Callithrix jacchus: one gene and its partners. The protein of the gene in region 1 purifies or fractionates together with the protein of each later gene. This does not show direct contact. Links are inferred from orthologs where the notes say so. Each region holds a gene or a part of one and is shown in the gene's direction. Other genes may lie near its edges.

The links.
Region 2: the proteins of KEAP1 (region 1) and OTUD1 purify together in Homo sapiens (affinity purification with western blotting; 3 studies listed by BioGRID, with this or other methods). This does not show direct contact. The link is inferred for Callithrix jacchus from reciprocal best matches to the Homo sapiens genes KEAP1 and OTUD1.
Region 3: the proteins of KEAP1 (region 1) and NIBAN2 purify together in Homo sapiens (affinity purification with mass spectrometry; 3 studies listed by BioGRID and IntAct, with this or other methods). This does not show direct contact. The link is inferred for Callithrix jacchus from reciprocal best matches to the Homo sapiens genes KEAP1 and NIBAN2.
Region 4: the proteins of KEAP1 (region 1) and MCMBP purify together in Homo sapiens (affinity purification with mass spectrometry; 3 studies listed by BioGRID and IntAct, with this or other methods). This does not show direct contact. The link is inferred for Callithrix jacchus from reciprocal best matches to the Homo sapiens genes KEAP1 and MCMBP.
Region 5: the proteins of KEAP1 (region 1) and TSC22D4 purify together in Homo sapiens (affinity purification with mass spectrometry; 4 studies listed by BioGRID and IntAct, counting the BioPlex papers as one, with this or other methods). This does not show direct contact. The link is inferred for Callithrix jacchus from reciprocal best matches to the Homo sapiens genes KEAP1 and TSC22D4.
Region 6: the proteins of KEAP1 (region 1) and GABPA purify together in Homo sapiens (affinity purification with western blotting; 3 studies listed by BioGRID). This does not show direct contact. The link is inferred for Callithrix jacchus from reciprocal best matches to the Homo sapiens genes KEAP1 and GABPA.
Region 7: the proteins of KEAP1 (region 1) and PGAM5 purify together in Homo sapiens (affinity purification with western blotting; 6 studies listed by BioGRID and IntAct, with this or other methods). This does not show direct contact. The link is inferred for Callithrix jacchus from reciprocal best matches to the Homo sapiens genes KEAP1 and PGAM5.

The regions. Positions count from the first base shown.
Region 1 is NC_133523.1:9,696,606-9,700,878, reverse strand, and holds the start of KEAP1 (kelch-like ECH-associated protein 1), read left to right. Parts: upstream 1-1,473; 5' UTR 1,474-1,523; intron 1,524-4,252; exon of another isoform or gene 4,253-4,270; coding exon of another isoform or gene 4,271-4,273. Other genes in the region: S1PR5 (sphingosine 1-phosphate receptor 5), read left to right, coding at 4,271-4,273. UniProt on the Homo sapiens protein: Substrate-specific adapter of a BCR (BTB-CUL3-RBX1) E3 ubiquitin ligase complex that regulates the response to oxidative stress by targeting NFE2L2/NRF2 for ubiquitination.
Region 2 is NC_133508.1:23,883,459-23,887,699, forward strand, and holds the start of OTUD1 (OTU domain-containing protein 1), read left to right. Parts: upstream 1-1,441; 5' UTR 1,442-1,824; coding exon 1,825-3,267; 3' UTR 3,268-4,241. UniProt on the Homo sapiens protein: Deubiquitinating enzyme that specifically hydrolyzes 'Lys-63'-linked polyubiquitin to monoubiquitin.
Region 3 is NC_133502.1:176,149,496-176,152,995, reverse strand, and holds part of NIBAN2 (protein Niban 2), read left to right. Parts: intron 1-3,020; coding exon 3,021-3,149; intron 3,150-3,500. UniProt on the Homo sapiens protein: May play a role in apoptosis suppression. May promote melanoma cell invasion in vitro.
Region 4 is NC_133513.1:112,978,467-112,981,966, forward strand, and holds part of MCMBP (mini-chromosome maintenance complex-binding protein), read left to right. Parts: intron 1-1,959; coding exon 1,960-2,125; intron 2,126-3,486; coding exon 3,487-3,500. UniProt on the Homo sapiens protein: Associated component of the MCM complex that acts as a regulator of DNA replication.
Region 5 is NC_133503.1:13,245,114-13,249,311, forward strand, and holds the start of TSC22D4 (TSC22 domain family protein 4), read left to right. Parts: upstream 1-1,398; 5' UTR 1,399-1,801; intron 1,802-2,252; 5' UTR 2,253-2,521; coding exon 2,522-3,283; intron 3,284-4,198.
Region 6 is NC_133522.1:31,940,315-31,944,532, forward strand, and holds the start of GABPA (GA-binding protein alpha chain), read left to right. Parts: upstream 1-1,418; 5' UTR 1,419-1,518; exon of another isoform or gene 1,519-2,103; intron 2,104-4,218. Other genes in the region: ATP5PF (ATP synthase peripheral stalk subunit F6, mitochondrial), read right to left, coding at 1,386-1,402.
Region 7 is NC_133510.1:135,914,500-135,917,999, forward strand, and holds part of PGAM5 (serine/threonine-protein phosphatase PGAM5, mitochondrial), read left to right. Parts: intron 1-2,982; coding exon 2,983-3,161; intron 3,162-3,500. UniProt on the Homo sapiens protein: Mitochondrial serine/threonine phosphatase that dephosphorylates various substrates and thus plays a role in different biological processes including cellular senescence or mitophagy. Modulates cellular senescence by regulating mitochondrial dynamics.

The DNA.
Region 1 (4,273 bases):
CATCAGGGCCTGAAGCATCAGGGGCAAAGGGCAAGGTCCTGGAGAAGCAGCGGGACCCAGACCCCCCTTCCTGAGTCTGAGGGTGGAAGAGCTGAGACCATCTGGAAGCTCCTGGGAAGTGGGGGTGGAGGCATTTCGGGGCCAGTGGGAAGGGTTGGTTGGAGGAGCAGTGGCCTGGGAGAGGCGTGGGAGAGTGACACAGACAGCAACAAAGAGACACGCAGAGACAGAGAGACACGCAGGCAAGAGATGCTAAGATCCTCCTGAGAGAGACACAGAGGACGTGAGGGAGACATTCTTTCCTTCATTCATTCATGCAGCAGACAATGGGCACTGGCTGTGTCCTGGCAGTGCCCACGATAGACTCAAATCCCTACCCCAATGGACAGGCTGCGGTGGCTCACACCTGTAATCCCAGCACTTTAGGAGGTCCAAGTGGGAAGATCGCTTGAGTTCAGGAGTTCAAGACCAGCCTGGGCAACATAGCAAGATCCTGTCTCTATTTAAAAAAAAAGTACCTGGGCATGGTGGCAAGCGACTGGAGTCCCGGCAGCTATGTTCAGGGGGCTGAGATGGGAGGATGGCTTGAGCCCAGCTGGTCGCAGCCGCAGTGAGTTATGATGGTGCCACTGCTCTCCACTCTGGGCGACTGAGCGGGATCCTGTCTGGGACAAAAAAAAAAAAAAAAATCCTTACATCGGTGGGGTTTACTGTTACTGACACAGTCCAGAAACACCATTAATGAGTAAATCACTTCGTCCTCAGCAATAAGGGTGGGAGAGAACCAGTCGGGGGAACGCGGAATCCAGGGGGTGGGACTGGACAGACCCTCCTTATCTAAGGAGCATCAACTTCCCAGAACAATCCTGCCCGCCCGTCTCACCCCTACTCGCCCTGAGCCGGGGGCGGGAGCGGGAAATTGGGAGGGGCCTGTGCCCGGGAGCAGCAGGGACTTATCTGCCGGTGGGATCGGACTCAGGCTAAGGTGGCCCCTGCTGAAGACTCCTGCTAAGCAAGCACTAAAGACCCCTCCGAACCATCGACGGGGCGTCCTTGGGGTGCAGCCCAGGAAGCTCAGTTCACAGGTGCGTGGGCAATGGGGAGGGCGTAGTGCCTGGACACCCAGGACAGAGGAGACCCCACCGCTGGGGAGAAGAGGCTCGAGCTGCGACCGTCCTGCCGCAGAACCCTCCCTTTCCCGCCTCCTCTCGGAGTCCTCCCTTCGCAACGGAGCGTCCCTGGGAGGGGGCAGCCCAGGCCCGGAGCGGGGAGCTGAGGGCTCGCCTGTGCCAGTCGCCGCCGGGGCGCGTTCCGGTGCCGCGGCGGGTGGCACAGGCTGGCAGCCACGGGCTGAGTGCCCGGGACCCGAGGGGAGGGGCAACTGCTGGCGACCGCCGGCCCTTTGCGTCGCTGGCCAGCCCCTCGCCGGCTCCGGCGAGGCTCCAGCCCCGCCCCCCGGAGCGGCTTCTGCTCACTCAGCTCAAGGCAGCGCGACTGCGGGGGGCGCACGATCAGGGCGCAGGGTGAGTGGAGCGCACTGGACCCATGTGGGCGCAGGGCTGGGCCTGATCCGGAGGGCAGTCGCCCTGGCTGCCACCTTCCCTGTCTAAAAAGGTGCACCGCACCGCCCGTTGCAGGGAGTTCCCCGATCTTTTCCTGGAGGCCTCTGGGGAGGGGGAAGCTGGGGACTCACCAGCTGGGTGCGGGGCCTGGGATAAGGGGAGAAGGTGGCTGGAATCACCCTGGCCTCACCCCCTCCTGGCCGGGCCACTGCAAGTTCCCACACTTCAGTCCTGTTGCCGGGCAGGCTGGGCCAATGGGGGTGGCCTCCCATCAGAGCTTGTGTAAACCTTGTCTTCCTCAATTTGGGCTCCCCATCTCCAGCTTGGGAGAGCCAGAGACTTCCTGTCTGTCTATATTTGCCTGCCTTGGTTCTCTGTGTGTGACCGAAGCTCTCTGGGGGTGAACGCATCTCTGCCTTGTGCAAAAGAAGTCCATTCCCCTCCCTAGGCCTTGCTTTTCTCATCTGAACTTGCATGAGGGCCGTTTCTGCATGGATGTTTGTGTGGGAGCGTGGAAACCTTTGTACCTGCTTTGATACGAAGCATTTCTTTTGAGCCTCAGTTTTCTCACCTGTACATTGGGACTAAAGGAAGCAGGGATTGATGTGGGCACAGAGGGCAGGGTGCAGTCCCTAAAGCCTGTAATCCCAGCATTTTGGGAGGCTGAGGCAGGCTCATCAAGGGATCAAGAGATGGAGACCATCCTGGCCAACATGGTGAAACCCCTGTCTCTACTAAAAATACAAAAATTAGCTGGGCATGGTGGAGCATGCCTGTAGTCCCAGCTACTTGGAAGGCTGAGGCAGGAGAATCGCTTGAACCTGGGAGGCCAGCGTTGCAGTGAGCTGAGATCACAACAGTGGCACTCCAGCCTGGTGACTGAGCAAGTCTTCGTCTCAAAAAATAAATAAATAAAAATAAAAAATAAGGACACAGAGGCAGGTGAGGAATGTTATTATACTTTAATGACACGTGTGCCCCTCTGCAAGAGCCTGTCAGCCCCTTGTGGATTCTCTCTCCTGTCCTCAGGCTCTGCCTTAGTAAAATAAATTAATAGGATCAATTTTCCTTATTTTGAGACAGAGTTTCATTCTTGTCTCCCGGGCTGGAGTGCAGGGGTGCGATCATGGCTCACTGCAGCGTCTACCTCTCAGGCTCAAGTGATCCTTCCACCTCAGCCTCTTGAGTAGCTGGGATATAGGCACATGTCACCACACCTGGCTAATTTTTAAATTTTTTGTAGAGATGGAGTCTTACTATGTTGCTCAGGCTGGTGTCAAACTCCTGGGCCCAAGTGATCATCCCAGCTCAGCCTCCCAAAGCGCTGGGATTACAGGAGAAAGCCACTATGCCTGGCCAAGGAGCAACTTTCTCATGGGGTTTTTGGGTGGATGAGGGGGTTTTGGCAGGAAAAAGCTTTGTGTGCAGTGAGACAAAAGTGTGGAGTTTGGTGTCATGGGCCCCAGGCTAGTGTGAGTGGAGTTGTGAAATTGTGGCCTGTGCCACTGGGTGGGAGACCCCTTATTCATGTGACTGAATTTTTTTTGTTGTTTGTTTTTTGAGACAGAGTCTTATTCTGTTGCTCGGGCTGGAGTGCAGTGGCGCAATCTTGGCTCACTGAAATCTCTGCCTCCTGGGTTCAAGGGATTCTCCTGCTTCAGCCTCCCGAGTAACTGGGATTACAGGCATTCACCACCACACCTGGCTAATTTTGTATTTTTAGTAGAGACGGGGTTTCTCATGTTGGTAAGGCTAGTCTCGAACTCCCGACCTCAGGTGATCCACCCGCCTCGGCCTATTATAGGCTCCACGCCCTATAATTCTATTTTTTATTTTTTAAAGACAGGGTCTTGCTCTGTTGCCCTGGCTGGAGTACAGTTGCACAATCAAGGCTCACTGCAGCCTTGACCTCTGGGGCTCAAGTGGTCCTCCCACCTCAGCCTCCTGAGTAGCTGGGACTACAGGTGCACACCATGCCCGGCCAATTTTTGAATTTTTTTGTAGAAACAGGGTCCTCCTATGTTGCCCAGGCTAATCTCCAACTCCTGGGCCTCAAGCAATCCACCGGCCTCTGCCTCCCGAAGTGCTGGGATTACAGGAGTAAGCTACCACACGCAGCCGTGTGGGTGCGTGTGTGTGTGTTTGTATTTGTTTTTTGTTTTGTTTTGTTATTTTTTGTTATATTTGTTTGTTTTTTGAGACAGAGTCTTGCTCTGTCACCCAGGCTGGAGTGCAGTGGTGCAGTCTCAGCTCACTACAACCTTCCTCTCAATGATTTTCTGCCTCAGCCTCCTGAGTAGCTGGGATTACAGGCATGCACCACCATGCCCAGCTAATTTTTGTGTTTTTAATAGAGATGAGGTTTTGCCATGTTGGCCAGGGTGGTCTCCAACATCTGACTTTAGGTAATCCACCTACCTCGGCCTCCCAAAGTGTTGGGATTACAGGCGTGGGCCACTGCGTTCAGCCATGCATGTGTTACAATGTCCCTTTTTTGAGACTGTATGTCACCTTGTCCCCTTGTGATATTATTTGTGTGTCCGTCTGTCTCCACGGACTCTATTCCTCCATCCTGAACTCCCCTTGGGCCCCATGTGTGGGGGGTGATGGTCAGGGAGTAGGACCCCTTTCCCACGGCTTAGCCGGCTGCCGGGGATGGTGGGCTGACACCGTGTCCTGCCTCTCCACAGCCTTGGGGCGCGCGGCCCATG
Region 2 (4,241 bases), on another chromosome or scaffold:
TCTAAAATCTTAGGACAACCTCTAGGTTCAATTTTAATGTGTTGGGTCTGTTAAATTTAGCATTTGATCAAAGCTCAGAACAGAGCAAAAGTCTCCCACCACCTCTGGCTCTCCCTTACAAAGGCAGGCATTACAAAAAGACTCGGTAGAAGCATTTTCTTTAGTTTGTCTTGCCCTAGAATGCAGGTCACGACTTTCTCCACTGCTTTTGACCTCTGGCTAGCAATTGTACCTATTTTCAAAAGGCCCTAAGTGATAATGCTTTTGGTATTCTGAGAACGGCTGTTTATGAAAGGCTTCCTTGCTTTCGCCTAAGTCAGATATTTACCAGGTGGCATAGGTCAGAGGTGCAGAAAAGTTTGTTTTGTCTTAGCAGGGCAGGAGGATCCACTAGAGGACTCACTCTTAACAGGTGAGTCCAAGGAAGCGCCTACAAAAGACGCAGTGGTGAAACTAGCTGGGCACCTGTAATCCCTACCCAAGGCAAGGCTGAGGAAGGGGGATCGCTTGGACCCTGGAGGTCGAGGCATGATGGCGTCACTGCATTCAGCCTAGATGGCTAAGCAAGACCTTGCCTCAAAAAGAAAAAAAAAGGTAAAAGATGTGGTAGTGCCAGGCGTGGTGGCTTGGGCCTGTAATCAATCCTAACACTTTGGGAGGTTGAGGCGGGAAACAGCTTAAGGCCAGGAGTTCCATACCAGACTGGGCAACTGAAGTGAGGCCCTCGCCTTAAAAAAAAAATTAGCTGGGTGAGGTGGTGCACGCCTGTGGTTTCCAGCTACTCTGGAGGCTGAGGCTGGAAGATCGCTTGAGCCACGGGAGGTCAAGGGTGCAGTGGGCTCTGACTGAGCCACTGCACTACAGCCTGGGCGACAGAAGGGACCCTCATCTCTAAAAAAAATAAAGAAAAAAAGAAAAGAAGCAGTGGTGAACGCAAGCAGGTATGGTAGCCCAATACCATGGGGAGGCCAAACAGGCTTTAAGGCAGCATTCCGTCCTCCACACCCAGCCCGGAAGCTTTCCTGCCACACAAGCTTTCCAAGCATGCTAGCTCGCCCCAAGCAGCGCCCATCCCGCAGCATCCACTGCAGCCACCGCAGAGAGCGGCGCAGCTTAGAAACCCGTCCCCAGGTGGGGAAAACGGTCCGCGGGAGTCACGTGGGCGGGAGGCCCAGCCAGAAATCTCAAGACTGCGCAGGCCCCTGAGCCTCAGCGCCCCCGGCTCCGCCCCGCCCGCGCGCGAGTGCGCGCGCGCGCGCGGGGGACTACGCCCGTGACGTCGGCGGGGCACAGCGGAGCGGGACAGGAGGCGGGGCGCGGGCCGGAGTGGGTGGGGCGAGTCGGTGCTGCTGAATCGGGCGCCCGGACGAGTCGCGCATTCCAGCGGGGTCATGTGACGCGGCCGCGAGGCCTGAGGTAAACAACCGCGGCCCCGCCTCCCGGGCCTCCGCGCGCCCCGCGCTCCTCCTTGTCGGCGAGACGCGCTCTAGCGGGGTGGGTAGCTTCTTCCGAGAGTCCCCTGCGGCCGCCGCAGCAACTGCAGCGGGCAAGGCGCCCAGGGTCTGCAGGCCGAGCGCACCGGCAGGGGTCGAGCGCGCGTCCCGTCCCCGCCCTCCCCCCACGCTGTGGCGCAGCAGGAATTTGGCCGGGACCCGGGAGCTATTCGCGGCTGCTGACGCGCGGCGGCCGGCGACCGGGCGCTCATCTCTATTCTGGGGCCGTTTGGTCACCGCGCTCCGCCGGCCCCCTCCCCCGGGCCCGGAGGGTGTGTCCCCCGCTCGGGGGCTCGCCGCGCCTATAAGGGGCCGAGCGGCGGGCAGGGACATGCAGCTCTACAGCAGCGTCTGCACCCACTACCCCGCCGGGGCCCCGGGTCCCACGGCCGCAGCCCCCGCGCCGCCTGCAGCCACCGCCGCCGCCCCCTTCAAGGTCTCGCTGCAGCCCCCGGGAACCGCCGGCGCCGAGCCCGAGACCGGTGAGTGCCAGCCCGCCGCGGCCACAGAGCCCCGGGAAGCCGCCGCTGTCCCCGCCGCCAAGATGCCTGCCTTCTCCTCTTGCTTCGAAGTGGTGTCCGGGGCCACCGCGCCCGGATCCGCAGCCGCCGGCCCGCCCAGCGCGTCCTGCAAGCCGCCACTGCCGCCGCACTACACTTCCACCGCGCAGATCACCGTGCGGGCCCTGGGCGCCGACAGGCTCCTGCTGCACGGGCCCGAGCCCGCTCCCGGCGCCGCGGGCTCTGCGGCCGCCCCGCGCGGCCGCTGCCTCCTGCTGGCCCCGGCGCCCGCAGCCCCCATCCCGCCGCGACGGGGCTCTTCCGCCTGGCTCCTGGAGGAGCTGCTGCGGCCCGACTGCCCCGAGACGGGCTTGGAGGCGGCCCGGGAGGGGCCCGATCGGAACTTCCGACTGAGCGAGCACTGCCAGGCCCTGGCCGCTGCCAAGCATCGAGGCCTCGCGCCCACCCCGGGGAGTCCCGACGCCGGCCCCGGTCCGTGGGGCGAGGAGCACCTGGCGGAGAGGGGCCCCCGGGCCTGGGAGAGGGGCGGCGACCGCTGCGACGCGCCTGGCGGGAACGCGGCTCGGAGGCCCGACCCGGAGGCCGAGGTGTCTCCCGGCCGGAGCAGCGAGGCTGCCCCGAGCAGCGCGGTGGAGCCGGTGGTTGTCCCCAGGTCGGATCCCAGAGACGAGAAGCTGGCCCTGTACCTGGCCGAGGTGGAGAAGCAGGATAAATACCTGCGGCAGAGAAATAAGTATCGATTCCACATCATTCCCGACGGCAACTGCCTGTACCGAGCTGTCAGCAAGACTGTGTACGGCGACCAGAGCCTGCACCGAGAGCTGAGGGAGCAGACCGTGCACTACATCGCCGACCATCTCGACCACTTCAACCCCCTGATTGAGGGCGACGTAGGGGAGTTTCTCATCGCTGCTGCCCAAGACGGGGCATGGGCTGGGTACCCCGAGTTGCTGGCCATGGGGCAGATGCTGAATGTGAATATCCACTTAACTACTGGAGGGAGGCTGGAGAGCCCCACGGTGTCTACCATGATTCATTATTTGGGCCCAGAGGATTCCCTGAGGCCCAGTATTTGGCTCAGTTGGCTCAGTAACGGACACTATGATGCTGTATTTGATCACTCCTATCCTAACCCAGAGTACGACAACTGGTGCAAACAAACTCAAGTGCAGAGGAAACGCGATGAAGAACTTGCCAAATCTATGGCCATATCCCTGTCTAAAATGTATATTGAACAAAACGCATGCTCTTGAAGTGTCTCAAAACCTTAACACCCTGGGAAAATTGCATACATAACTTGTGTTTGGAGAATCACGTGAACTCTAATCAGGGTAATAGCACTTTCAAACTTCCTAGTAGATTTTACTGTAGGTGTAATGCCTTAATCATCTTTTTGAATGTTTTCTCAGAGCTGAAGGTTGCTGGGCACCCAAATGATGTTTCATGATAGCTTAGGGTGATTTTACTGCTATTTATAATTTGCTGTATAAAGTGAGCACTACTTAATTTGCAAGCTGTTTTCTCACAGTGTAAATTTGTTCATTCCTGGTAGTCTATTTTCTATAAAAATGTATTTTTGCACAACATTTTTAAAAACTGGTGTACCTTCATCTATGACGTGTCCCATTTTGACAGCTTTCAAGCATAAATCCAGAGAAGTGCTTTATATGAAATGTATTATTTTGAACAGAGTTTGTGATTTGGTAGTTCTTACGTTGTTGAAATTTGATTTTCACAATTCTTAGATAATTATTTCAGATGGATATTGATGTATTCTTGTTACCAAGTGTTTGGCCCATTCCATTTTGATGAAACAAATCTGTTCTGTTGGAAATAATTATTTTTCTAGAAATGGTGAATCTTTTAAAGAGAAATACTTAACAGAAGGTTGTGGGAAGGTTTTTTTTCTTCTTTTAAGGGATAGTACCAGGTCTTACTTGAATGAAAGTCTGATATTTGCCGATGACAGAGTGATTATTCTGTACCCTGGTTAATGTGTAAATTGTCTGGTGCTCTCAGTTTTATTTACATTTGTCACTTTGTTATAAGAGAATCTAACTTGGTATAAAATTTTGTGACAAGATAAGCCTCCTGCTTTATATAACTTCTTGGATCCAGCTAAGAGATTTATAAACTAATGTCATAAATGTCTGGAGCCAACCTTGGCAGTTATAGCAGGAGAACACTGTCTTAGTATTTCTTTTACATTCTTTCAAAAGGCAAAAAA
Region 3 (3,500 bases), on another chromosome or scaffold:
AGTGGGGCCAGAATGGCTCCCCTGTCTGGAAAGCAATGTCACAGGCAGCCCAAGTCTTAAAATTCTAAGATAAGTGGGCGCCAGCTGAGGGCGTTAAGCATTTCCTCTGCGTGAGGCCCCATTTACTCTGGGGAGGCAGGAGTGTGTATTTATTATAGAAAAATGGCAACAGGTAAGCAAGGAGAGTGAAATGAAATCACCCACAGTCCCTGAAAAGCAGGTATTTTTGGTCTTATTTTGTCCCTCAGGAAACGGATTATCACAATGTAAAGTCACAATAACATCATATTACTAGAGAGAGTATTAATCACCAGTGGTGATAAAAACAACACTGTTTTTTATTAGAAACAATAGAATACAATAAAATTTCAACCAAATTTCTTCTCATAGAGGACAAAATAAAAAAATAAAAATAGTGATAATGATAACACAACAAAAATAAGAATAATCAAACAGCAGTTGTCTTTTCGTTTGTTTTTGCTTTTTTTTAGACAGAGTCTCACTCTGTCACCCAGGCTGGAGAGCAGTGGCACGACCTCGGCTCTCTGTAACCTCTGCCTTCTGGGTTCAAGTGATTGTTGTACCTTGGCCTCCCCACTAGCTGGGACTACAGGCGTCCACCACCCACCCAGCTAATTTTTTGTATTTTTAGCAGAGACAGGGTTTCAGCATGTTGGCCAGGCTGGTCTCGAACTCCTGACCTCAGGATCTGCCTGCCTTGGCCTCCCGAAGTGCTGATATTACAGGTGTGAGCCACTGTGCCTGGCTAAAACAGCAATTGTCTTGTGTCTGTATTGTTTGCTCAGCCACCTGGCCCCACTCTGAGGGAGGGGCTATGATGATGCCCACATCACAGATGTGGACATTGAGGCTCAGAGAGGCAGAGCTGCTTGTCCAGGCTCTGGCGGTGGGTGGTGGTGCTGAGACAGGAGTCCTGGTTGTGACCCCGGGCCTGTGCTGTCTCTGACTGAGGCACTGGAGAGCTTTGCAGAGTCTAAACTATTTTGCCTGGGCTGTCGAGTTCCATTTCATTTCCTGCAGGCCTTCCAATCGAAACACGACTCTGCCATTTGAAAGTCTTAAAAATAAAACCCAAACCCACAGCCAGCCACCCATTGCGAGCTCCCTGGGATCTGGGGGCGGATTGGGTGGTGGGGGTTGTTAAGCCTGCCTAGGTCGCTAGCCCACTTCTGCACAGCCTCCTGCTGGGACTGGCCCTGTCCCTGAGTGCGAGTCCCTGTGTCCTGGGGCTCCTGCCCTAAACAGGGAGGAAGGAAAACCAGAGGCCTCTTGCCTCTTGCCTCTGGTGTTATGAGAGCTCTCTGCTCTTTCTAGAAAAGACAGGGATTTGAGCTGGGTGTGGGAAGTTTATATATAGACCACTGAGGGCAGCTCCATGACTTGGGCAAAGCCCACTGTGTGTAGGGTGGAGGGTGGTAGGGGAACCATTTTCTTTTCCTGTAAATATTTTTGTCCCTGGTAGGAAGAAGCCTGCAGGTCCTATTGTGTGAGCACAATGGGCTCTGCTTCTCCAGGAGTGTTTTGTGTTTCCCCTTGAAAAGCAGCAGGGAGGGAGTGGGGAGAGGGGGACGCGGTGGAGGGTGCACAGGGCCAAGAGGAGACAGGACTGTGAGGATGGGCCTGGGCAGAGCCAGGAAGCCAGGAAGGTGCAGGCACAATCACCCTTTCTCCCATGACTGCTTCGGAGAATTGTTTGTTTTTGCAAAAGTCACCTTGTTTATTTTTGAGACGGAGTTTCGCTCTTGTTGCCCAGGCTGGAGTGCAGTGGCTCGATCTCGGCTCACCACAACCTCCGTCCCTCGGGTTTAAGCAGTTCTCCTGCTTCAGCCTCCCAAGTAGCTGGGATTATAGGCATGTGCCACCATGCCCGGCTAATTTTTCTATTTTTAGTAGAGATGGGGTTTCACCATGTTGGCCAGGCTGGTCTTGAACTTGTGACCTGGTGAGCCACCACGTCAGGCCAAAGGCACCTTATTTATTGTAGAACAAATAGAATTTGCTAAGAAACAGAGGAACACTGTACTCCCCTGGATTCCCTCCCATCCAAGACGAAGCATCTCTCATTGTGGTCTCTCTCCTTCCAAAAGCTTCCTGGTGTTTGTCTGCTCAGGAGGCCTTGCACTTGGCCATAGCTTCCAACTGGGCCCCCAACCCTGGTTTAAAGATCCCCTTCCCCATCCCCAGATAAGTCAGTCCCTGGGGCTGGGAAGCTATCACAGATACTGAGTCCTACCAATAGTGGTCATGGTGGTCCTGTGTATTATGCACCTGCCTGTCAGGTACCAACTCTTATGATTCCCATTTTACAGCTGAGAAAACTGATGCTCAAAGTGACGAAACACGCTGTGAGTCAGGCAGAGTTGGGCTTTGTAGGAAGGTCTGGGCACTTTGCAGCCCATGTAGGTCACCAGTCTACGTAGGTCACCAGCCTGCCAGGACGTGGGTCAGACGTCAAACACCCCCAGACAGAGGCACTCTTCATCCCCACCCAGATTGAGGGAGGCCGTCTCATCAGTGATCAGAGCTGGGAGGTTCTCTGGAGCCACCTTGTTCAAGTTGTCATTGCCCTGAGGGGAAATGGAGGCCTAGAGCCAGGGATAGACTTGCCCAGGCACTGGGGCCTTCGAAGTCTTGGCCTGTGGGTGTGTCCCCTGCGCCTGGAACGACTGCGGGGCACCAGTGCTGCAGCTGTAGGTGGGTGAGGAGCAGCGTGGTGCAGTAGGTGGGTTCCTGTCCTGGGTTCAAGTCCTGGTATTGCCACCCTGCCTGGACCCTGGGTGAGCCCCTCCACAGCTCTGAGCCTCACTCTTCTCATCTGCAGAATGGGTGAGAGGCAGCCAGGCTTCAGAGGCTTTGGGAGGACCCTGGGAGATGCAAAGTGGGGGACGTACTAGGCCGGGGGCTTGCACACAGGTCTGCTGACTGGGCTGTCAGCTTCATGGGGAGCATCCCCCCAGCCCCCGATCTGGGCCTCATTCCCCGCCCCCTCCTGCCCACAGGTGCCACTGGACGAGCGCATCATTTTCTCGGGGAACCTCTTCCAGTACCAGGAGGACAGCAAGAAGTGGAGGAACCGCTTCAGCCTCGTGCCCCACAACTACGGGCTGGTGCTCTATGATAACAAAGTGGTGGGTCTGCCCCAGCGCTGCGCTGAGCCTCTTCGCCTTCTCCACGTGTGCCTCCTCCCCACTCAGAAACTTAGGCCCCAGAAGCCACCCTCACACCGTCACCAGGGCCAGAGCGCAACCTCAGCCCCTCCCCTCACCCAACCTGCAGGCTGCCTTGGGTGCACTCTGGACAGCAGCCCATTCTTCATCTCTGGGGAATACCGCTGACTCCTGTCCCTCATAACCAACTGTCACTCACTCTTCCCCATCCCTCTAATCTCTCTCCAGTCCTTCCAGCTCCAGGGCTGGAAGGAGCTACCAGCCCTGCCACCTCCTTTCCTCCTGCCACCTCCTTTCCTCCTGCCACCTCCT
Region 4 (3,500 bases), on another chromosome or scaffold:
CATTCAACCCAAATATTTAACTTAGAGATATAATAGATCTTATTTAAGGGGAAACAAACCCTGCCAAGTTACATAATTTAAAATGTACTTTCCCCTAAACGTTTCACTTTTTTTTTGTCTAAGCACAAATTTCTGTCAGTCTTAACAATTAATACAATTGCAGTAACTCCCTTAAAATTATACTCTGTTGATACCCATTTGTTTGTGCAATTTGCCATCCTTTTTGCGCACTAAAATCTTAAATCTAAATGAACTCTAAATTATAGGAGCATAATTCTTTTAGCTGAGGTAATAAAGTTCTTTGTCTCCATTTACCCAGTTTTAATTCCTGTTTGGAAAGTTGAGCTCACTTTATTTGCCAGGGTATCTAGAATGCAGTATTTGTGTGGTGCTAGGATCTTGGGAACAGGGGAATTGCTTCTGATTAGCTGTGTGACTGAAAATAGTGATCCCTTCTTTGGAAATTGAAGAGGTTGCACTAGATCCTCATTGAACCAAATGTATTGAGTGTCTCAGTGCTAGCACTCGTCCAGGCCCTCAGAAGCACAAGTGGACCAGAATACTCCAGCAATTCTCAGTCTCCTTAGACTCACTTGACACTCTGAAAAACGTATTAGTACTCAAAGTGCTGTTTTTCACATTTTTCATGTTATATTTATCATTAATTTACCAAATTAGAAGGTAAAGCAAATATATTTATTAAAAATAAAAAACTACATATAGACAAATATTTTTATAAAAACAACTTTTCACAAGCCAAAAATGGTTAGTGATAAAAACAACATTGTTTTACATTTTTGCAAGTCTGTTTAATGTCTGGATTAATAGGAGACAACAGATGCTTGTATCTGCTTCTGCCTTCAGTCTGTTGTAATTTGAGGTTTTGGTTGAAGTATATAAAGGAAAGCTGGCCTCACACAGTTGGAAAGGTAGCTGGTAAAGGATGGTTTCAATAGCCTTTGTAGGTAACTTGGTGCTGGCCTGTGATAGTAGACCAAAACTATCCACATGACGTTTTCTTTTTTTTTTTTTTTTGAGATGGAGTTTCGCTCTTGTTACCCAGGCTGGAGTGCAATGGCGCGATCTCGGCTCACCGCCACCTCCGCCTCCTGGGTTCAGGCAATTCTCCTGCCTCGGATAAAATTCATTAGTCTCACACATTGAAAGGATCTTTTCTTCATACATGATTTTGACCTGATTGACCCCAGAAAAGTGTTTGAGCAATTCCCTGGGGATTCTCTGGACCCCATTTTGAGAATTATTGAAACAGTCAGATCCTTTGCCCTTACGGAGTTTAGGTAAAGGACCAACAAATAAATTAAGCCATGGTAGGTCATTTAAGCTTCCCTAAGCTCCCCTGTTTTTTTAGATTCACTGAGCTAATGTATAAAACACCTCTAAATTTTGGCAATACGTCTTACCTCTTCCTTGACAGCCTTCCCCCGAAGGGGTAGAATAATGATTGTTGTATAAAGCAGAGCACAGAGTGTTGAGAGTGGTGGCTCAGGAGCTGGAGGAGGAGCATAGATGGGTCGCTTACTCATTAGACTAAAGAAGAAGGTGCACACAGCCGGGAGCCATGTCCTGAGAGCTGCAGCATGTCACCACAGCTCAGTGTGCTCTGCTCCTTGATTTTTCTCTGAAAAGTTTCTTCAAAAATGTCTATGATGAATGAATGTAATTTTAACTCAAAGAATATAGAGGAAAATTAAACTTTTCTCTCCCCATCTTGAAGAATAAAATTAATATTTCCTTTTTACTAGCTTGCATTAGGTGAAAGAAGTTAGGCTTTGGGATATTTAATATTTGTACGTCAGTTATCTACCATTTGTTTCATTGGTTAAATTAAAATTGGTAAGATCACTTTTTCCATATGAAACACAGTGTTTAACTCCAAGTGCATATTTCTTAAAACAGGGAAACTTAAATTCTTGTTCACTAAAAAATTTTCCTTTGCAGTCTTTTCGTCTGCAGATGACTATAGAGAACATGAACCATTTGAAATTCATTCCCCACAAAGACTACACAGCCAATCGCTTGGTCAGTGGGCTCCTCCAGCTGCCCAGCAATACTTCCCTTGTAATTGATGAGACTCTCCTAGAACAGGGGCAGCTGGATACCTCAGGTACGTACATAGAAATTTCCCTTCCATTTCTGACTTCGTTCTTGCTAAAGCCAGATCTAGGGGTAACTTTCTGAAGAGTATGGACAAAGACAAATTCACATTTAGCAAGTATGTAAGATAAAGGCTTGACATGTAACTTTGATTAAAGCATATATTAAAAACTAATCAAATTGTATAAACCAACTGTGTTTTGCCATAGTATTCTGAAAATAGTACAGTAGAACAGTTGGGTTTTTATTTTTTTGGTGGGGGAGTAGAGACAAGGTTTCACTATGTTGCCCAGCTAATCTTGAATTCCTGGGCTCAAGTGATCCTCCTGCTTTGGCCTCCCATAGTGCTGGGATTAAAGGCGTGAGCCACTGCACCTGCCCAAAATAGCTTTTTAAAAGCTGAAATGGGGCCAGGCACAGTGGCTCACGCCTGTAATCCCAACAGTTTGGGAGGCTGAAGCCGGAAGATCATGAGGTCAGGAGCTCGAGACCAGCCTGGCCAACATGGTGAAATCCTGTTTCTACTAAAACAAAACAAAAATTAGCCACACACGTGGCACACGCCTCTAATCCCAGCTACTTGGGAGGCTGAGGCAGAATTGTTTGAACCTGGGAGGCGGAGGTTGCAGTGAGCAGAGATCGTGCTACTGCGCTCCAGCCTGGGCAACAGAGCAAGAAAAATGAATGAATGAATGCTGAAATGGGAGGAAGCTTTGCTTTTAGTCATTTAATACTTCAAAAGAGAAGTGTAGAAAAGATCTAATAAAACATTTTTCACCTCCAGTTGTAAAGCTTTTAAATGGGTTTCAGAGAATCTCTAAAAAAAATGATAGATCAAATGGTTTGAACTAACTTCAGTTATGGAACATATTATAAAATGACAAGAAAGCAGACTTTTATCTGTGCTCAAATGAAGACAATTAAGATTATACTGCTGGTGATCAGTTCAAGAGGTAAAGGTAGAATTAAAAAATGAGGTAGACTGGGCATCTTTGAGGCAAAGGGGAATATAAAATCAGTAAATTTCACTAGCCTGGTCTACATATGAAGATAGTTTCAGTCCTTTCTTACTTCAGCCCTGTGGCTACACCACCTAGAAATAATCGTACTTACTCGGGAACTATTTTATGTCTAGGTGCATACCAGATGCTAGGTATTAGATTTGTGGCAGGGGGTCTTGGCCCCAGAAAGTTCTACTTTGACTAAGACTGTTGTAAGCCTACACACTTAGTGACGTTTAGCTTAGTAAACTGGCCAGTGCCTCATACCCAAGCAGTAGAAACTTGATGGCTTATTATCAGTGTCAGCAAAACTGATTTGTTTATAGATGATTAAAGTCAAATGACTGAAAATGTTTTCTTGCTTTTGTAGGTGTTCATAATGTG
Region 5 (4,198 bases), on another chromosome or scaffold:
CTGGGGGACATAGTGACAGCCCCACCTCTACAAAAATTTAAAAATTAGCTGGGTGTGGTGGCATGCGTCTAAAGTCCTAGCCACTTGGGAGGCTGAGGCAGGAGTATGGCTTGAACCCAGGAGTTCCAGGCTGTGGTGAGCTTTAATCACACCACTGTGCTCCATCCTGGGCAACAGAGAGAGAGAGAGAGAGACCCTGTCTCTAATAAAAAGGAGGAGGGTGGGGGAGAGGGGAATAATATAATGTCCAGGATTTGATTTCAAATAGTCTAGCAAAATACAGCTGGCTCCCGAACAATGTCATTTCACTGAATGAAATGTCATCTCACTCTGTTGCCCAGGCTGGAGTGCATCTTGGCTCATGGCAGGCCCGACCTCCTGGGGTCATGAGATCCTCCTGCCTCAGCCTCCTGAGTAGTTGGGACTATATGTGTACATCACCACATTCAGTTAATTTTTTAAAAAATTTTTTGTAGAGATGGAGATCTGGCTATATTGTTCAGGCTGGTCTCAAACTCCTCGGCTCAAGAAATCCTCCTCCCTCAGCATTTGAGTAGCTGGAATTACCAGTGCACCTCCCCATGCCCAGCTAATTTTAAAAATTTTTTGTACAGACAGGGATCTCGCTACATTGCCCAGGCTGGTCTCGAACTCCTGGCCTCAAGCGAGCCTTCCACCTCAGCCTTTGAGTAGCTGGAATTATAGGTGCACCTCACCATGCCCAACTAATTCTTTTATTTTTTGTAGGGGCCGGGTCTTGCTATATTGTCCAAACAGGTCTCAAGCTATCCTCCTTCCTCGGCCTCCCAAACAAAGTGCAGGGATTGACAGGTGTGAGCCACAGTATTCGGCAATAATCCACTTTTAAAAATAAGGAATGAGGGGAATAATAGTACCTTCCTCATTTAGTTGCTGTGGAAAGGAAAGGAGAATGACGGTAATAGCCACAGCCGCCCCACAGCAGGAACTAGGCACTTCTGGGGGGGCACCCAGTACACCTCCAGGCCTGTGCCGTCCCTCTCTTTGGTGAGTCTCTAGGAGAGGGGCAACAATTGACTACAAGTAAGGGAATCCCTCGCCTCCCTGCAAGCTCCTCCCCTTTCTCCCCGAGCCCCGCCCTCTGCAGCCCCTCCCTGCAAGAGTGGTGCTGGGGCCCGGCAGGTGTGGGGTTAAGGGAGTCTGTTTGCGGCCCCCAGGAGCAGCAGCCTGAGCAGCGGCCGCAACAACTGCAACAGCAGCGGCTGTGGCAGGCCTGGCCCCTGGCCAGCTGGCGGGGAGCCCCAGGAGGGAGGGAGGGAGGAGGAAGGGGAGGAAGAGGGGAAGGAGGAGGAGGAGGAGAGGAGCAGTCAGCAGGCCCGAGGAGGCAGGACTTCCTGGTGTGGGGGTTGTCAACAGCTCAGAAAGAGAAAGACGGAGAGGCAGACCCAGGGGAGCCGAGGAGCGGAGACAAGGACCCAGCGGGGCCACGCGGGAGGAGACTCGGGACACCAACTCGCCGGCTGCCACCGGGAGCAGCGGGGGACTCCGCCGCCCCCTCCCACATCGTCTCCAGACCCTTGGTGCTTCAGAGGCCGCGCTTGGGCTCCTCGGAGGAGGCTCGGGTTCCTTCTTTTCGGAGAGCAAACTTTACACGGAGATGCCTCGCAGAATGAGCTGCGGCCCCCGAAGAGGACGGGGCAGCCTGTGATCGCCGCCTGCGAGTCCCGCCACTGCCCGGGGCCAGGAGGCCCCAGGGAACCGACAGCCCTACCTCTTAGGCGCCGGGACCCCCAGGCTCAGATCAGTGGCCGAGGCCCCAGAGGTAGGGCTTGTGGCTGGGCGGGGCGCAGAGGGGTAGCCTGGCAGGGCTTGACCCAAAGATGTGGGAGCTGGGGTGAGGGTGGGGGCTGGAGGCCTAGGAGAGGTCTCTCTCTGGGTGGCCGGGCCAGGCTGGGGAGCTGCTTCACCCCGGTTCTCCCAGGCCCTGGAGTCCGAGCTCCTGGGACAATGCAGGATCCCTGAGTCGGAATCCCAAGCGAGAAATGTTCAACTCTGGGACCCGTCTGCCTCTTCCTACCCTGAACGCCTTCTGGGATCCGGTCCCCTCTGCCCTGGTCTCTTGTCATCTCTTGCCTGCCTCTGGTTCTCTGACGGTTTCCTCTTCCCCCACTTTGCTCCCCGGAGAGGAAGCCCCGGAGGTGGCCTGCCCACTGGTTTCACACACACACACAGACACACACATAAACTCTCTCTCTCTCTCTGTCTTTTTCCAGTTTGCAAACTCAGCTCTGGAGTTCAGCAGCGACAGCAGCAGGAAAAACCTGCCCTTGCTCCCCCCTCCTGCCACCTCCACTCTCCTCCTCTCCCCTCACCCAGCAGGCACCCCCGGTTCCCGCCAGGCCCTCCTGCCATGTCGGACCCAGACGTCCCCAGGGGCCCGGATGCCCCCACCATGTGGCCCCCTTGTTCCAGGGGTGCCTGAGCCCCTTCAAGGAGCCCCAGCCTACCCCCAACCTTGGCCCAGCCCTGAGCCCCAGGGACCATGAGCGGGGGCAAGAAGAAGAGTAGTTTCCAAATCACCAGCGTGACCACGGACTACGAGGGCCCGGGGAGCCCAGCGGCTTCGGACCCCCCTGGCCCACTGCCCCCCACCGGGCCCCCACCCCGCCTGCCAAATGGGGAGCACAGCCCTGATCCGGGGGGCAAGGGCACCCCCCGTAATGGCTCTCCCCCACCTGGGGCCCCCTCCTCCCGTTTCCGGGTGGTGAAGCTGCCCCACGGCCTGGGAGAGCCTTATCGCCGAGGTCGCTGGACTTGTGTGGATGTTTATGAGCGAGACCTGGAGCCCCACAGCTTTGGCCGCCTCCTGGAGGGAATTCGAGGGACATCAGCGGGCGCTGGGGGCAGATCTTTGGATTCCAGGTTGGAGCTGGCCAGCCTCGGCCTGGGCACCCCCACCCCACAGTCAGGCCTGTCTCAGGGCCCCACCTCCTGGCTCCGTCCACCGCCGACCTCTCCCGGACCTCAGGCCCGCTCCTTCACTGGGGGGCTGGGCCAGCTGGTGGTGCCCGGAAAAGCCAAGGCAGAGACACCCCCACTGTCGGCTTCCCCGCCTCAGCAGCGCCCCCCAGAGCCTGGGACTGGGGAGAGCGGGGGCACATCTCGGGCTGCCACACCCCTGCCCTCCCTGAGGGTGGAAGCAGAGGCTGGGGGCTCCGGGTCCAGGACCCCTCCACTGTCCCGGAGGAAGGCTGTAGACATGCGGCTGCGGATGGAGTTGGGTGCTCCAGAGGAGATGGGGCAGGTAAGACCTGGGTTCTAGGGCTCGCCCATCTCAGCCCTGGCCTGACCTTCATGTTGGGCCTCCCTACCTCTGCCTCCCTCCCCCTCCTCCCCCCTCCTATCCCTTCTCCTCCTCCTCCTCCACCTCCTCCTCTTCCATCACCTGTCTATCAGATCAGACAGCCCCTTCTCTGTGCCTGCCAAGTCACTCTCAAGCCCCTTCCTTGGTTTTCTGCCTCAGCCTCCTTCCTGTTTTTTGCACCCTTTCTCTTTCTCTCTGGCCTCTGATTCTGTCTTGGTTTTCACGTGGCCTGGCATATGTGGCCTCCTCACCTGGCCTTCTTCTGTCTTGGTCTCAGCTCCTCTGGCTCTAGGTGATGAGGGTGGAGGCCCCAGCTGGGTAGCTGGGTCCCTGGGGTAGGAGCTGCCAGGATTTGGGGAGGAATGGTAAAAGGTAGGCCTTGTATGCTGCCAGTCTCTTTCCACTGCAGCCCCATCCTGAATGTGGGGTCTTTCTTTTCCCCCAGCCACCCATCGCAGTCCCACTTCTAGCTTTGCTGCAAGCCAAGTGTCATGGAGAAATTGGGTGGGGGGAACACCTCCCTGGGATGGGGAAGGGGCTTGCTGGTTGATCCTTTTCACTCCCCAGTTGTCTGGCTCAACTCCCTCCAGGCAAGAAGAACTTGAGGAGGAATGCAGTCCCCGTACTGTTTCTCCTTCCTGTCTCCAAAAGAGGAACAAGTCTGGGCTGGGGGTGGGGGGCAGGATGCCTGGGTCCCCAGGGTGGGGGCGAGAAGCCAGAGACATGGGGATTGAATACTTCTGTCCTGCGGGAGAAAATAACACCTCGGAGGGCTGGGGAAAGGCAGGGAGTGTGAGGATGCGAACTCTTTCCCCTTCCTGGCCTTGGGCACAAACCACAGTATAAAAATAACCT
Region 6 (4,218 bases), on another chromosome or scaffold:
GTGGGTGAAGGGGAGAAGAAAAGCAAAGCACACTGCCATGTGTGTACCTACGCAACTGTCTTGCATGCTCTGCTCATGTACCCCAAAACCTATAATCCAATAAAAAATTTAAAAAAAGAAAAAAAAAGAAAAAATAAATAAATAAATAAAATAAAAAATAAAAATAAGCTGTTTACAATAAAAAAAAAAGTTAGAAGGAAACGTTCTTATCTCTGCTTTACAGATCTATGTCTAAGAAGTCAAGCTGCACATATTCATACAGCTAATTTTCTCTAAGTCTGACTGCAGAGATGTTATTCCTGCTACAACATGGGTAAAATCCACTTTCATCGTTTCAATTTTCTATCTTCTAAGTGCCTATCATTCCCGAATCGCATCTCTAATTTTGGTATTCTTCCTGAACCCCAAATCTATACACTCTATTCAACAGTTCTCATCTCCCTTATAAGTTCTACGAACTCATCCAAAAAAATTAACACATAATCTCATACCAAAACTTGTTCCTTCTTTAATCCCTTTCATTTTTTTCACTGATTAGTGAATGCATATTGTCCACTGACTCGCAGAAGACAGTCATTACACAAACAGCTGTGGAATACCACCTGCCATAAATTCTCCATTCCAGTACCATCGGGTGACACGAGAGAATATGATAGCGTCTGACATGATCAGAAAGACTGGGGAACGCAACAGTAAGAAAACACTACAGTCCGAGCAGAGGTCTTGTCGTGGGCGGGAGCAACGTTGTCCCATTACAGTGATGACTGACAGGCCAAAGGTTAGTAGGTTCGCTGTCTCGTCAGTGTATGTTCTTAAGAACAATCCATAAAGCTGCCTAACGAAGTGTTAGCACTATCATCGTTTGTAGGTGGGAAGCAAACTTTCAAGATTATGACTACTCTTTGCCCTCTTTTGGTGGACATTTTGTCTAAGGAGCTAAGACGGCTACTTGCGCCCGGGGCGGGCAGGCCTAGCCGAAAACCTCTCCCGCGCGCCTGACCTTGGGATGCCCCAGCCAGGATGCGGGCCCGAGACCTCCCAGCCTCCCTGCCTCCCGCGCGGCCCCGATTTGCCCCCTGGGAAGGTATCAGTCTTATTTCTAGGTTTAAGGCAAACTCCAAGGTCTAGAAGCGTAGAGGTCAGCTGTGACCCCGGGCCAGGCCGTAAATGTCCCCAGGACACAGAGCTGCTCTCTCCTTCTAGTAGAGCAAAGGTGAGAGGCAGCCCAGCCCTCGTGAAGAAACCCAGATCTGGAGTCCCAAGAGGCCACGCTGATCTAGCTACCCTCCCAGTCACCTTGCACTCAGTACCGAGTTGCCAAAGCCGCCGCAGCCACCACCACCACCGTCCTACTTCCGGCTCTGGCTCCGCCCCCACACGCCTACCCGCCATCGCAATGCATTATGGGCCGCCGTTTCAGTCGGTCGACGCTCACCGGACAGGAAGCGTCTCGGAGACAAGTCTGCGACCGGACGGCTCTAGGTGAGACAGAAGCCAAACAGGAGGAGGAAGTAGAGGGTAAGTGCTTCCGGGTCCCGTGGCGAAGACTCCGCCATCTTTTCTTCGCCTAATTTGACCCGTTCTCTTTCCCTCCTTGAAACCTTGCTCTGTACGCATGCGCACTTTGTCTAACCTGTCCCCTAGTTCAAGCTGTCTTTCGACTCAGCGTCCTGTTCCTTAGGGTTATCGAGGTGTATAATGGTACAGGGAAAGTGAGACTGTGTAAAACAAAGCGGATTGGGGCGTTGTGCTTCCTTGTGCCTCGTGAGCCTCCGTTGCCTTGGGCGTTTGTTTCGCGCACCCTGCTGGGAGTTGTAGTCCTGGACCTGGAGGTGCTTGGGAGGCGGGAGGGGGGTTGGGGCTTCTCAGCGCCGATTCCGCGGGAAGGGCCCTAGGGCCTCACACTTCTAGTCGCGGGAGCTGAAGGTCTTACCCGGAGAGACGCAGCACGTGGAGCCTGTGCCGCTGCCATTCTCAGCCGGCTCTGGAGCGCGGGCGGGGGCCACAGGGCCGATTCCGGAGCTGGTGAGTGCGGCCGCCGGGGAGGAGGGGAGCGTGGGCCCGCGCGGGCCGGCCTCGTTCCGGGGCCTTTTCGCCCACAGCGGCCCCCCCGCGGCCGCCTCTGTGTTTTGTTTCCGCTGGTCCCCGGCGCTGTGACTCCCATTTCCGTTCGTGGAGACTTGAAGGAGCCGGGTGGGGAGGGGCGGGAGAGGCTGTGCGGGGAGCAAAGGGGAGGGGCGGGGGGCGAGCGGCCGGGAGCCTCGGGGAACCGCGCGTCCCCGGTACCCGCGCTGGACGGGTCGCCTGTCACCTCTCCCTCCCTTCCCAGTCCCCTCCTCCCGCCAGTCTGCATTCCGCGGCAGTCTCAGCCTGCTCAGCTGGGATGTGGTCCTGACACCCCCGGGATTTTAAGAGCAAGATGCAGAGCCTGTCTCATCGCGGGACTCAGCGATTCACTCACTTCAAATCCACTCTTTCTAGAACGACACAGTTACAACAAAACCATTTGTCAGTCTTTATGGTATCCGTCAGGGTTTGTGTTTTGTTTTTAAGCGAGGAAGTAAACCAGGGAAATAACAGGGTAAAGTAGCTTCCCTACTTTTTAAAGTGCCTTGTGTGCTAGAAGACACGCCGGGTGTGCGTGTTCGGATTTAGGGACCCCAGTTTGATCAGATTAGCGGCCGAGAGGACAGTGCCTAATACTGTATTCCAAGATGATTAGAAATTTAGAAATAAAATTCACTTCATAAGTAGTTTCCACTAATACACGTAGGTCTTACTCTTGAGAGGAGCAAAGATTTAGCAGGATTCCCTTGAGCGAATTGCAGAACAGGGCGGTGATAACATTCTTAGGTAGTGTTATCTGGAACTTCAGAAGGAACTGCTCAGCTCTTTAGCAACTGCTTAAGGGACTAGCCTGTCTCTCAGGGTTCCATCCAGACTTTCCAGGCTTCTTTATATTTAGACATACACTGACGCTGGGTGGACTTAAATCAGTTCTACCTGAATTGTGTATACAGGAGCATCTGTCATGACGCATGTATAGTATTGAAGTAATTAAATCCTGAGCTAGATGTTAGGCTGAAGCAAGTCATAGGACCGAGTACTAAATTAAAACGGTTGACTTTACCCTTCCCTCAACTCTTTATATGTAAAACTGCAAACCTACAGAAAAATTCAGGGAAAAAAATCATACAGCGAACACCCATATACCCTTCACCTGGGGGGTCTCAACTGTTAATCTTTCACTCTGTGTGCTTTCTCTCTTTAAATTACATAGATGTATATGCTTTGCTTTTTCTTAGCTGCTACCTTTATTTTTGAAAATAAAAATGTCTTTTAATTTCCGTCGTACTGAAAAGCATCTGATAACTTGGGAAAATGTGCAGTTAATCTCGCAGGTACCCCCACACTCCACTTAGTTTTATAATTACAATATATTGGGAGGAAAAAAGCTCTGTAATTAATGCACTCCAGTGAATCCTCAAATAGGTTGACAACCCTCAAATTTATCTGTAGTTTCAAACAGGAATGTTCCACCTATCAGTATTTTAAAAGACACAAGCTGTTCCCAGAACTTTTCGTTAAATTCAACTTCAGTTTGTATTCCATCTTGTGAAACGTTCCGAACTCGGTTGGATGGAATCTAGCAGTACCAAAGTGTCAATGAAAGTATATGAAGTTGCTCTATGCAATTCTGACGGGGGCAGCCTTTAGATGGAGAGACTGCAAGTAATTTTCTCTCAATTTTCCTAAGTATTGACATACAAACCTGGGGAATTGGTTTCAGAAAAAGATAAGACTCACTCAAAAACTGTCATGAAAAATTTGGACTGTTTCTCAAATCTCTGTTTTGCTTCTCTAGACTAAGCATAGAGAGCCGAGAGAGAAAAAGATCATTTAAGAGATTGGGTAATATTTTTTGAAAGATCATTTAAGAAACTGAGTAATATTTTTTTTTTTCTCCAAAAGGGCATGGGTTTTTGTTTGGTTTGGTTTGGTTTTTTCTCTGGCACTTTCTAGGGAATGGTCTGTAATTTTTTTGAAAGGTCATAGGACAAATTTCTTTTTAACAACTTATTTTAGTGTTTATATTAGGGGTGCTGTTTTATAATCTTTAAAAAATTGGGAGTAGACCTCCTTATAAGTCCTGAAAATAAATGATTTTTTAAGTGCTGCTCTGCTGTAAACCTGATTCTCACTTTTTTCTGTGTAATT
Region 7 (3,500 bases), on another chromosome or scaffold:
CCTCTGTTCCAGGACCCATATAACAAGTAGTTTTCATGCTTCCTTAGGCCTTTTTTTTTCTTTTGAGATGGAGTCTCTCTGTCACGCAGGCTGGAGTGTAGTGGGAGGTGAACCCTTCACCTCCTATCCTGCCTCAGCCTCTTGAGTAGCTGGGATTACAGGCAGGCACCACCATACCCGGCTAATTTTTGTGTTTTTAGTAGAGATGGGGTTCCACCGTGTTAGTCAGGCTGGTCTGGAACTCCTCACCACGTGATCCGCCAACCTCGGCCTCCCAAAGTGCTGTGATTACACTTGTGAACGACCACACCCAGCCCTTAGGCACATTATGGCTATGACAGTTTCTCAGACTCCTGATGATCGTGGCCTCCTGGTTGGGTATTTCGTAGAAGGTCCCTCAGTTGAGATTAAGTCTAATGTTTTTCTCATGATTACACTGGAGTTATTTATTTATTTATTTATTTTTGAGACCGAGTCTCGCTCTGTCATCCAGGCTGGAGTGCAGTGGAGCAGTCTCTGCTCACTGCAGCCTCCATGTCCCAGGTTCAGGCAATTCTCCTGCCTCATCCTCCTGAGTAGCTGGTACTACAGGTGCCCACCACCATGCCTGGCTAACTTTTGTATTTTTAGTAGAGACAGGGTTTCACCATATTGGCCAGGCTGGTCTCAAACTCCTAACTTTGTGATCCGCCTACCTCTGTCGCCCAAAGTGCTGGGATTATAGGCATGAGCCACCGTGCCTGGAGTTGTATTCTTTTTTAAAAAATCAGTACAATATTCTGAATTTCTAAGGAAACAGATTCACTCTGAGGTTAAAGAATTTGAGGCCGGGCGCGGTGCCTCACACCTGTAATCCCAGCACTTTGGGAGGCCAAGGCGGGGGGATCACAAAGTCAAGAGATCAAGGCCATTCTGGCCAACATGGTGAAACCCCATCTCTACTAAAAATACAAAAATTAGCTGTGCATGGTGGTGCACACCCGTAGTCCCAGCTACCTGGGATCCCATCACTGCACTCAGCCTGGTGACAGAACGAGACTCCATCTCAAAAAAAAAGAACTTGAAGTAGGCCGGGCACGGTGGCTCACGCCTGTAATCCCGGCACTTTGGGAGGCTGAGGCAGGCGGATCACTTGAGGTCAGGAATTCAAGACCAGCCTGGCCAACATGGCAAAACCCCGTCTCTACTAAAAATACAAAACCTAGCCAGGCATGGTGGCAGTCACCTGTAATCCCAGCTACTTGGGAGGCTGAGGCTGTAGTGAGCCGAGATCGTGCCACCACACTCCAGCCTGGGTGATAGAGCAAGACCCTGTCTCAAAAATAAATAAACGCGTAACTTGAAGTAGAACCGGGAGTTGAGCCCAGCCTTTTGTCACTGAAGCAGGTATTCTGTATTTGCTTGCCACGTCCGGGGAGAAGTGAACTGGGCTTTGTGGGCTGGGGAAGGACTCGTACGGACAGAAGGCACGAACTACTACAGCAAGGTGCTAGAAGACAGCATGTTTCCTCCTGCGTCTCACTTCCCCATGCTGGGAAGTTCCAGAGCCCCATGCAGTGCTGGGCTTCCTGTCTCGGAGCCTACAGCTCCCAAATGTTTTCTCTGGCTCAGCCTGACTCCCCCGTACCTGCCAGTGTGAGTCTTGGCCTGGTTTGTGACAGGCTGGCCATGGCCCTTGAGTGACCACTGTGTCCTTCCAAAGCTTCCTTTTCCGCCGCTGTCGCCGGTGTGACCTGTGCTATTGGACTTTTTTGGTCGTTGAGACAGGGTCTTGCTCTGTTTCCTAGGATGGAGCACAGTGCAGTGCAATGGTGAGATCATGGCTCCTTCCCAGGCTCAAGCAGTACTCTCACCTCAGCCTGAGTAGCTAGGACTACAGCTGCAGGCCACCTTGCCTGGCTAATTTTCCTGTTTTTGTAGGGACGGGGTCTTCCTGTCTTGCCCAGGCTGATCTTGAACTCCTGGGCCCAAGCTATCCACCCATCTTTGTCTTCCAAAGTGCTAGGATTCCAGGTGTGAGCCATGAGGTGGTGATCCCTGGCCCCCAGCTGAGCAGCTCTTTCAGATTCCAGCAGCTCTGGAACAGGGCTTCGTAATGGGAATGTTTCCTTCTCACTGTCTGATTTGATAGTCACTACCCCATGTAGCTACTGAGCGTTTGTTTTATATTTTGTGGAGACAGAGTCTCACTCTGTTGCCCAGGCTGGAGTGCAGTGGCACAATCACGGCTCACTGCAACCTTTGCCTCCTGGGTTCAAGGGATTCTCATGCCTCAGCCTTCCAAGTAGCTGGGAATACAGGCACGCGCCACCATGCCTTGGCTAATTTTTGTATTTTTAGTAGTGACGGGGTTTTACCATGTCAGCCAGGATAGTCTCAAACTCCTGACCGCAAGTGATCCACCCGCCTCAGCCTCCCAGAGCGTTGGGAATACAGGTGTGAGCCACTGCACTCAGCCCTGAGTGTCTAAAATGTACTTAGTATGACTGAGGACATGGTGTTTTACTTAATTTTGCTTATTTTGAACTGAAACAGCCGCATAGCTGGTAGCTGCTGTTGGGCATCACGGTTCTAGCTTGTGCTGGCGCATCATGGTCAGGGAGACCATCCTGGCCCCGTGGGCACTTCCCGCCTCCTGTCCTCTTTCCTGGCCTGGCGTTCTCCACGCCCGGGGTTGCGTTCTGGGTGGTCTGTCTCCTCCTGCTGTTCACGGTCTCCCTCCCTTTGTTAGAGAAGAAGGTGCACAGGACTTGGGTGTTTTATTCTTCAGTGCTTTTTCACTCAGAACAGGCAGGAACTAGCTTTGTCGGGGAGAGAGGTGGTGTCCTTGAGACGCCTTCCTGGGGCTGCGCCAAGAGCCTTGTCTTCTCTCCAGGCTCTTCCCAAGTAGTCTGACAATTTGGAAATAACATCTTGTCAGAAAAACTCAAAAGTGATTTGGGAACAGAGGTCGTAAGGACGAATCTTGTATTTCAACATTAGGCGAGAACCACTGTCTCTGATCAACCTGCGGAAGAGGAACGTGGAATCTGGGGAAGAGGAGCTGGCGTCTAAGCTGGACCACTACAAAGCGAAGGCCACACGGCACATCTTCCTCATTAGGCACTCCCAGTACCATGTGGATGGTTCCCAGGAGAAGGACCGCACTCTGACCCCGCTGGGTATGTGGAGGGAGTCAGATAATCTACAGCCCCCTTGGTTATGTAGTGGGGGGAATCAGATCCTCCAAAGATCACTCTTGGTTATGTGGGGGGGGTCAGATCCTCCACAGACCCCCTTGGTTATGTGGGGAGCGTCAGATCCTCCACGGACCCCCTTGGTTACGTGGGGGGGGTCAGATCCTCCATGGACCACCCCCTTGGTTGTGGGAGGGGTCAGATCCTCCACGGACCCCCTTGGTTATGTGGGGGGGGGTTCAGATCCTCCACGGACCCCCTTGGTTATGTGGGGGGGGGTCAGATCCTCCGTGGACCACCCCCTTGGCTGTGGGAGGGGTCAGA